Saccharomyces cerevisiae S288C: one gene and its partners. The gene in region 1 interacts genetically with each later gene. Each region holds a gene or a part of one and is shown on either strand. Other genes may lie near its edges.

Region 1 (3,300 bases):
CAGATGTACTTTGATCGAAGTGTTTTCTAAATGTGATTGCGCGTATGATGAAAGCTTTTTCTCAAACATATTCAAAACGATGGGCAGAGCTTCGACCAAGTGAATTTGGACTTCTTCGGCCAATGCAGGGAGAAACTTTCTCAGGTCCTGGTGAACATAATCCTGTAGTTCACCAGCGGCCTCTACACCAGTAGGCCCACCACCAACCACGACAATGGACAGTAGTCTTCTTCTTTCGGGATCACCCTTTGGCAATAAGTTAGCCTTCTCTAGATTGGCGGCAAAAGTTCTTCTTATTTCCAAAGAGTTGGGAATTTCCTTCAGGAAATGACCGTAATCAGTGACCCCAGGAATACCAAATGTGTTAGGTTCCGCACCTACAGCACTGATTAAATAATCGTACTTAATTTCAGCAGGTTCTGCTTGATGCAGCCCTAGATGGTTTTCAGGTTGGTATAGCTGGCTAACGGCAGATAATGATTTTATGGTAACGGTATTCCTGTCGGGATTGATAGAGGTGGCTTCTGCCTCATAGTAGGTAACGTTCCCCTTTTTCTTGAGAGCAAAATTAACGATGGGCTCAATAATTGACTTTTCGTCTACTGTCCCAACTGGTGCAGAAGGTAACAAAGGCGTAAATAAGAAATAGCTTCTAGGAGAGATGATGGAAACGTTGTACTTCTTGGTGTCAATGTGCTTTAAAAACGAAATAGCTCCCCACCCCGAACCCAGTATCAGCACGTTTGGTTTGTCGCTGTGCTGAGGGTCAATGACTTTCATGGTCTTAAAAGATGTAGGACCTGCTCCGGAGTTTTCCACCCCTGTGGATCTGGTGGAAGCGAATCTGACTAGCGTATTCGTCGAGGTGAGCAACCTCTTGTTACTATACAAATTCTTCGATAGCATAGTGGTTTTTAGTTTCTTCTCTTGGGTAAACGTGTAATTCGATGATGTGATGAAACTGACACCCTACCTGAAACTCCTCAATTGGTAGTTAAAACTCCTTCCCCACTATGCCCTATACATCTTATATATACCCTGTCGACGTTGCAAATACCGGCAATAACCAAGAGCGCTAAGGGGGAGCACTCTTATTGTGGTTACCCGGACGTTCAATGCCTTCATATGATTGGTCCGAATGAATAGGTCATGAGAAAATGCATATTTTTGAGGCATTTCAGCAATGATCGGCAATCTGCACATATTCGTATTGTTTCCCTGAGTAAGTTATTTGCGGAAAGAGACATTCTATTGCTTTGGAGTATTTTGTGGTCTTCGACAATAAAGCGAAGGAATAATAGGTTCGTTGCTAGCGACAAGCAACACATAGTTGTAGTGATGCTATAGCAAAGAAAGGTCACAGATTCATTATTGACCTTTTAAATGGTGCCCAGTGGCAATTGCCGTTTTAGCATTCTTTAAATGCGTAGTATATGAGTTTTAAAGTGCTTTGTTGTTCACGTGCTTTTCACGTGTATGATTACTTAACCGGGTAGCGCCGGTCTTTAATATGCTTTCCAGATTAGGAAAGAACATAAATAAAAACACAAAATAAGAAAGTGTCAATCATCCGCATTGAAAGAAAGAAAAGATTTTTTTATCCCTCAATTGTACATGAAAACAGAGACCTTTCAAAACGTATTTTAACATTCTTTTACTCTTTTCTTGCACCTGCAGCCTTAGGTCAGTAAGAAAAAAAGTAGGTAGCAATGAGCCCAAGTCCATCAGTGTCGCCAAGAAGGACGCTCAATAACAAATCATCTTACATCAATAACAGCGGTGGGCTGGTCCTGCCTCCTACGCAGTTTAATTTGAATCAGCAGCCAGTCCTGAGCTTCCAACAAAAAGCGACTTTCGATTCCAACCAGCAGTTTTTCTATTATCCAGAGTCACCCACAAAAAACCTGAGACCAAGGTTTAACAGTATTTCGCAGGTTAATAAAGGAGTTAATGAAGACCATTATACCGGGGGCGGTAGCAGTAATAATAACAGGCCATCTAGATATACAAATACCATGGGCGCTGCAAACACCAATGTAAATTCCCATCCGCATCATCAGTCGGTGTCGCATTTAAATTCTAAATCTCTTAAATTCAATCAAACGAAGGAAGTGAGCAGCATAAATGAAATTATTTTTCCTTCCAGAACGTGTACAAAGAAACGGTATTTTACCAAGCCAATTGATTTGTATGGTACAAGAAGTAGCACTAGTGTGGCACCTAAGTTGACGAATTCTCCCACGAAATCAAAAACAAATTTCAACATCAAGAAGTGCATCTTACCTAGGTCCGTCGTTACCACATATAAATTACCATCTCCAGTGCACGAAACGATAGACGATATATCCAAAAAAATCATAATCCTGCTAATTTCGTTGAAGTTTGAGAAAAACTATCACTTCTTGCAACCTATTCAATTGTCCACAAATAGTAAGACACGGATCTCAAAATCACTAGACGAATTATGCGGAGTGCAGCTGACATCAACGTTACGGCAACAAAAGCAGCTGCAAGGTAACAGCAAGCCCGTAAAGAATCTCCCTAATTCCAATGCGAAGCAGAGAGCCGGGGCCAGTGTTTCCACAAATGCCAACGAAAGCTTTGAATTGAGTTTTGATGGAAAGGCAATGGATAGATCTGATATATTTCGAATGGTAGATTCTTTTAGCATCGCCATTTCAGATGAAGATGAGGAAGATGAGGAGGAGGATAGCTTTCAGCAGAGAAGTGCGAACAACAGAATCCTCCCTGCGGAGATACTAAGTAATGAACCTTTGAAATGATACGGATTCTCTGTATTCTGTCTATAGTATTTATATACCAATACATTTTTCCGCACTTTGAAGTTTTGCATTTTACTTAATGTAGTTTATTATTAGTTGCCAAAACGAAACATTTAACATGTGAATTAAAAATACAAAAAAAAGCCTATTAACGATCTAAATTTATGACAAAAGACATATAATTATTTTAATGATGCCTTTGTCACAACCGAACACAATATCTTTGAAAAGTGATCCAGCAATCGAATTCAGAATTCGTTGTGCCATTTTTGCCTTACGTTTGCGCCATTGTAATTTCTCTGTGCCGTCTTCTCTTCACTTTATTTCAATATTATCATGCAGTAAACAAGTTGCAGAATAATAAATAATATACGTACCAAATATGTGAACAACTCAGATACTATTCATTTGATATGTTAAAAGTCCTGCATTCCTCTCCCGACATTATATATAAAATGCTCAGCCACCCCTTCGTTGCACAGAAAAAAAGGATGACCTATAATACCAATATTCAATC
Region 2 (3,225 bases), on another chromosome or scaffold:
CGCTTTAAAATAGTTATTCTTTTATAATATACAATTATTATACATAAGTAGAAATATTCAGATCATTGGATATGGAATAAAGTTCAATAAACCACTTGAAAATAAATCATAAGAATAGCATAAGCACCAGCTCAATTTAGATGTCTGTACAAAAAGTAATATATTTTAGAGATGAGCAGGCAGAACCACACATTAGTGACGATTGTCTTCGACCTTATGTGGAATCTTAAGCTTTAACATATAAGTAAAAATTTTTATTTTCAACAAAAGATTAGAACGAAATGAAATTCCTTAATTGAACCTTCTCTTGGATATCAATCTATTGGCAATCATTCCTAGAGAATATATTATTGAGTGAAAACTGTAGATACGTGCTAAGCGGTAAAGCCCTTATGAACATCGTCACACTATCTCTATATTGAGCCTCCGTAAATTTCGAATCATTTGAAATTCATTTTTCCTGGTAGGAAGATACTTGATAGTGGAGGATAAGTAAAGTAAATTGTGGTTATCATTTATTTGGTGGTAAAGTACCTTTTTTATGTTTTTTTTGAAGATGGAAATTCAGGCATTTTAAAAAAATAGAAAGCTCGAAATATCTCAAAAAACATAAAAATAGAGGAAGAATCCGCTGAATATACCATCTTTACAAACTACTTAACTATTTATTTTTAAATATAAAATTTTTAGTACCATCATCGGAGGATTGTTGCGATCGTATTTTTTTCTCCATTTTTTTCCTATATGCTATGCCACATCGACTACATAGCTCAACATTTCCATTAGGTCCACTTCTCCACTGAGAAGTCCAGGTGTCACCACAAGTGGCGCACTCTTTTGGTTGACCGTTGGGGAGTATAGTTTGTTTCTTCCTACTTTTAGGTCTATATCCTGCTAAAGATTTCTTTCCATTGGATGATATTGGTAGTGATGAAAAAGATGGGGCTGGTAGAATAGAGGGGTTATGCAAAGGCCCACCAAGACGACTTTCTTCCTTCAATTTTGGACTCAGCGCACTATTTAAGCTTTTGATCTTCTGTTCAAGAATATCTGCTCTTTTTAAATCTGGCGTGACACCAGATTTCGGGATACTGGCTACTGAACAGCAATAATTGGGATTAGCGGCAATGAACAGAACCATTTGTACAAAACGATCGAAGTGGAATTTCGTTCTACGACCAGAGCTACTAGCGCCGCTTGTTCCCTGCTCTTTGTTATATAACATAATATGATTTAAAAGTTCTATCACTCAGCACTACAACGCAGTATTTTTATTCTAGATGACCAGTATAGCAAATATTGTTACCCTTGAGATATTGGTAATTTAACCAAATCTCAAGTCATAAATGCCTCCCTTTTAAGTTTACATAGGCAGTGGACAGATTGGTACATCATATTAAAGGAAATAATGAACGCTAAAAAGAATGCCTTTTACTGACACATTCACTTTTAATACGAAAACGGATTTTGTGGTATATGACGTTGAGCACTGCGTGGTTTTCTGTGAATCCGCCGTGCCTAAAATGGACCCTTAATTATTTAACAATAGACCGGCCCGAATAATGTTAACATGAAGGGAAAAGTGCACATAACTGCAAACTACTTTGGTAGGTTGATTATCAGAGCTAAGCCATCCTACAGGTAATGATTTCCAAATTTTTTCTTAAGTAAAAAAGTTCAGAAAATAGAAGAAATATAAAATTTAAAAGGAATTACTGTTTACGAGACACATCGTTCATTCTTGGATAAATATACAAATCTACTTAAGAAAAAGCTTTCCTTATTTGTTGTTTCCTACTTTGTACCATTTGGTTTATTATATATCGTTGTGGAAAAGAAACTTGGTCTCTTGAATCTTAGTCGCAAAAGAAAATTTTTACCCACATAGGTAATGGAAAAGAGACAAAATTATTTCTGGACCTTATTCAAGAGGATGAATTTGAAGCATTTATTAATAATGAATATGATTGTGCGCTTCTAAGAAAAACTCACGGGTAATTTGGCTTAAAATGATTCACTAATGCCACGCTCAGATTCCACCAAATACGGTTAAAAAATCAAAAATAAATGAACTTCATTTGGTCATTTTTACTGCTAAAAAGTGGAAGATGAATTGCGGATGATATGAAAAATTTGAGTGAATAAACTATGAACGCGAAAAAAAGAATATATATGCGGAATAAAATATCAAAGTAAAAGATTCAAAGAGCATGTCTAACTTATAACATATACGGTCGAAGTCACCAAATGAATATTGTTATTTTCACTATAGTTAATCGCATTTTATACTGATGTTTTAACAGGGTTCGTTAAATTAAACAATATTTTACACAGGTGCTTCAGGAACATCATTATGATGATCATGTAAAGCGTTATCATCAGTGGTCTTACCAGGAGATTCAAGATTTTCATCTGTTGACTCTTGTTCTTGTTCTTCTTTTTCTGTTCTCAAGAAGTAGTATATTCTATCCGTCAAATCTTCGTCATTAATAAGTTCATTAATCTCATTCCATGAAAGCTTTTGAAGCTTATTGAAGCTCTTGATCTTTTTGCGGAGATTGAAATAATCAATTTTTGACACTCCAGGAACATTCAACAGTCTCTTGAATTTAGACTCGTTATCACCATCCTTCAGGCCCTTTGCAGTGCTATTAAAATCCGATCTAACTTTATTCGTTCCCAATATAACTGCATTACTAGGGTCAGGTTGCTCACGTCCTAATTTCAACTCTAGGATTATATTTACAGTTTGCAGGGGTGAGGAAGACCATATAATCTTTAAAGTGGGAAACCGCAATACTAATTTGGCTAGTTTTAGCTGAATTTCATCCTGGGATAACTTGCTTGATATAGGATGAACAGTTGATATGTCTTTATTCTTATAATTTCTACGTTCACTAAAAGGTTCTAAAGAAAACGACTGTCCTTCATCAAACTCAATCAATAGTGTCGGATATGCATAGTATTTTAACATTTTTTTACATTGGTTGGCTAATCTGTTATTCTGTAATGACCCAATTAAGTCAGAAATCGATTTTCTTTCGAGACAAATATCAGGAGTTATCACATAATCGCCGACTGTCAACATACAAGGAATAACCCTTATGCCATATCGGTAGAGTAAGCCTGGTAATGAGGCATTAAACTCACGTGTATCCACAATGACGACATCCTGAGTAAGATTATGGAATCCCTGCTGCCCACCCGCATTTCTGGTATTAGATT
Region 3 (3,761 bases), on another chromosome or scaffold:
CAAGCATATATTCGCCATCAGCTGAAGTGATTGGCTGGGCACCGGAGTCTAAACCAACAATAGCCAACCTCTCGTGAACGAAAATGGTGGAATTCATAACGGCATTTCCTGACCAATCTGGGCCACGGTGTCTGATTTTTTTAGATAGTTGTAGAGCTTTTGGTTTGAAGTTGTGAATATCTTCATGCTTGAAGGCTGCAAAGATACCACACATATTGTATTGTAGTGAGTATTTGTGTTTTGGTGAGCTTAACTGGGAAGCAAAAAAAATAGTATAAAAGTTAAATTAGAATAAATGAAACTAAGCAAGTGGCAAATCTTTGAAATATGCGATTCAAAGTCATAATTTTTTCAAGAAGAGAGGCTGGATGAGGCTTTACTGATTTTCTGGAGAAATCTTGCCATGAGTCAATGCTAAGAAAATTTGCAAAAACCCGCGCCGTGCGGCACCCATATGTGAATAAAGCTTTACTAGTAGATAGAAAATGTAGACCATTCCTGCAGGGTCCATACTACGGACGTATGGCTTTGTGAATCGTTTCACAAAGCCAAAAGAATGAACCCAATACGCAAGGTCCAGTTATGCAGAGAGCAGCAGGATAGCGGCTGTTGCACGCAACGAGACTGTTCTCTCATGTTTTCCACGATTTGATATATCCCCCTCTTAGTAAATACAGAGCCGTTCGAACGGTTTCTTTAGTAAAATCCAGGCTCCACCTTGATGGGAGGCATGATGAGTTCCAATTAGGAATGAGCAGGAGCTCACTTTAATCTTGTTATCGCAATGTGGAGTTAGCCTTAAGAACGTGTCCAAACCTCTTATGTATTGTTTTGTTCGTAATTTGATCGCTTTGTACGTGCAAATCGCTCTCTGCCCACAGCAGGAAGGACCACATAAGTGAATAAGTAAGTGGTGGTTCTATGATTTATCGGGATCTTATATTTGCATTCTAAAAAGTAAATGGTCTCTAGCGGGATCGAACCGCTGATCCCCGCGTTATTAGCACGGTGCCTTAACCAACTGGGCCAAGAGACCTATTTTTTTCGGAAGTCACTGATTAATAGTTTGATAATACAGGTGTAAAGAGTAGTATTTTCATGTGTCGCATTGTGTATGACAACATATGTGCGTTCGAAATAGATATAAGGCTTCTAATTTTCAAAGAAGGCGGTATCGTTAAGTATATGCATATGTTACGGTTTCACCTTGAGGATTAGAACTCTAAAAAAGGAAATAAGAGTGCTACAAAAAATGACGATTACTTCTTTTTTCGTTCTATGATATCGCCGCTCATTGTTCTATTACATCACCAATCCTTGAAATTTCAGCTTCATTGAATTGATGATGCTTTTAATAGAAACCATTTATGTCATATTTTGAGAGCCATACATGATAATATTCTGGTAATATAATCATAAGTTATTGGTTGTAGTTGGCGTAATATTCCAGGATTACGAATATGTATTTTATTTTACGCCCGCCATGTTGTATTTTTTTATCATAAAATTTTACACCATGACAAATCTAATACCACTGATGCAGTGTACTGTTTATACTTAAGAAATAGGTAAATTTTGAGATAATTGTTGGGGTTCCACAATACTGTCTGTCATCTTCTGTTATTCTGAGTATTTTTTTTCCTTTTAGCAGTTTCTTGTTCGTACCTTGGCCACTGAAAATTCTGGCTGAGACAATTATCAGGAACACTTCTAGTCCTCAAAAGTTCCTTCTCATTTTCTTCTTTATGAAAATATTTTTTCAATCATTGTATGTATGTATTTCTTTTTCCGTTAAAACGCTAAACCAGGGAAAAAAACGACGGCGGGAAACTGAAAAATTTCACAGATGAGGTAAGAAAATTGGCGAAAACAGCTTATAGAGCTTGACACAGAACTTTAACAATTTTAGAGGCAAGAAATAACGCTTGCCTTGGTATAATCAAATATCTCGAATATGTCAACACCCACAGCAGCAGATCGCGCGAAGGCACTTGAAAGAAAGAACGAAGGAAATGTTTTTGTGAAGGAAAAACATTTTTTAAAGGCCATTGAAAAATATACAGAGGCGATCGATTTAGATTCTACACAGTCTATCTATTTTTCGAACAGAGCATTTGCTCACTTTAAGGTAGATAACTTTCAAAGCGCTTTAAATGACTGTGATGAAGCCATTAAACTGGATCCCAAAAATATCAAAGCTTATCATAGACGTGCATTATCCTGCATGGCTCTGCTAGAATTTAAAAAGGCTAGGAAAGATTTGAATGTGCTTCTAAAGGCGAAGCCCAATGATCCGGCTGCTACTAAGGCGTTACTTACATGTGATAGGTTCATTAGAGAAGAAAGATTTAGGAAAGCTATCGGAGGCGCAGAAAATGAAGCCAAGATCAGTTTGTGTCAGACTTTGAACTTGAGTTCATTTGATGCTAATGCAGATTTAGCCAATTATGAAGGTCCAAAGTTAGAATTTGAACAGCTGTATGACGATAAGAATGCCTTTAAAGGTGCAAAGATCAAGAACATGTCTCAAGAGTTTATTTCCAAAATGGTTAACGATCTTTTCCTAAAGGGAAAATATTTACCAAAAAAGTACGTTGCAGCTATTATCTCTCATGCTGATACCTTATTTCGTCAAGAGCCATCTATGGTAGAACTAGAAAATAACTCTACTCCTGATGTTAAGATATCAGTATGTGGTGATACGCATGGCCAATTTTATGATGTTTTGAATTTATTTCGCAAGTTTGGTAAAGTAGGTCCTAAGCACACTTATCTATTCAATGGTGATTTTGTCGACCGTGGTTCTTGGTCGTGTGAAGTTGCACTATTATTCTACTGTTTGAAAATATTACATCCAAATAATTTCTTTTTGAACAGAGGTAATCATGAGAGTGATAATATGAACAAAATCTATGGGTTTGAAGATGAGTGTAAATACAAATATTCACAAAGGATATTTAACATGTTTGCACAAAGTTTTGAGAGCCTTCCATTGGCTACCTTAATTAATAATGATTACCTTGTAATGCATGGTGGTTTACCAAGTGATCCTTCAGCAACTTTGTCTGATTTCAAGAATATTGATAGATTTGCCCAACCACCTAGAGATGGCGCCTTTATGGAACTTCTATGGGCGGACCCACAAGAAGCCAACGGGATGGGTCCTTCTCAGCGTGGTTTAGGACATGCTTTTGGACCCGACATTACAGATAGATTTCTAAGAAACAACAAATTGCGCAAGATTTTTAGATCTCACGAGTTAAGAATGGGTGGTGTGCAATTCGAGCAGAAGGGTAAATTAATGACAGTTTTCAGTGCTCCAAACTATTGTGATAGCCAAGGTAATCTTGGGGGTGTTATTCATGTTGTACCAGGCCATGGTATTTTACAGGCTGGCAGGAATGACGACCAAAATCTAATAATTGAGACATTCGAAGCTGTTGAGCACCCAGATATAAAACCAATGGCCTATTCTAATGGTGGTTTTGGTTTATAGTCATGCCTTTTCTATTTTGCTAGATTATTATCAAAAGCAGAAAGTCTGGGAATAAAAGAAACTAATATGAGCTAACGAAGTGGAGGAAGTAACTTTTTTTTTTTTTTTATAAATTTATACATCTTTCACAAAAAATTTCATAATGTTTATTGTCATGTATCATATCATAATACCTCTTAGAAAAATAAGAAATATCTTCGTTGTTGAACAACATTATTCCCTTCAGCCAGGAAATTATTTAAAAAAACAACACTCACGATGGGGG

Evidence for each region.
Region 2: mutations in YML119W (region 1) and ECM23 together harm fitness more than expected from each alone (negative genetic interaction), as found in Saccharomyces cerevisiae (one large-scale study listed by BioGRID).
Region 3: mutations in YML119W (region 1) and PPT1 together harm fitness more than expected from each alone (negative genetic interaction), as found in Saccharomyces cerevisiae (one large-scale study listed by BioGRID).

What each region holds. Positions count from the first base shown.
Region 1 is NC_001145.3:28,902-32,201, forward strand, and holds YML119W (uncharacterized protein), read left to right. Parts: upstream 1-1,709; coding exon 1,710-2,783; downstream 2,784-3,300. Other genes in the region: NADH-ubiquinone reductase (H(+)-translocating) NDI1, read right to left, coding at 1-906.
Region 2 is NC_001148.4:509,101-512,325, reverse strand, and holds ECM23 (Ecm23p), read right to left. Parts: upstream 1,226-3,225; coding exon 662-1,225; downstream 1-661. Other genes in the region: SUMO protease ULP1, read left to right, coding at 1-13; ssDNA endodeoxyribonuclease RAD1, read right to left, coding at 2,327-3,225. UniProt on the Saccharomyces cerevisiae protein: Involved in morphogenesis. May be involved in cell wall organization and biogenesis.
Region 3 is NC_001139.9:736,397-740,157, reverse strand, and holds PPT1 (protein serine/threonine phosphatase), read left to right. Parts: upstream 1-1,954; coding exon 1,955-3,496; downstream 3,497-3,761. Other genes in the region: ASN2 (asparagine synthase (glutamine-hydrolyzing) 2), read right to left, coding at 1-214. UniProt on the Saccharomyces cerevisiae protein: Protein phosphatase that specifically binds to and dephosphorylates the molecular chaperone Hsp90 (HSC82 and HSP82). Dephosphorylation positively regulates the Hsp90 chaperone machinery.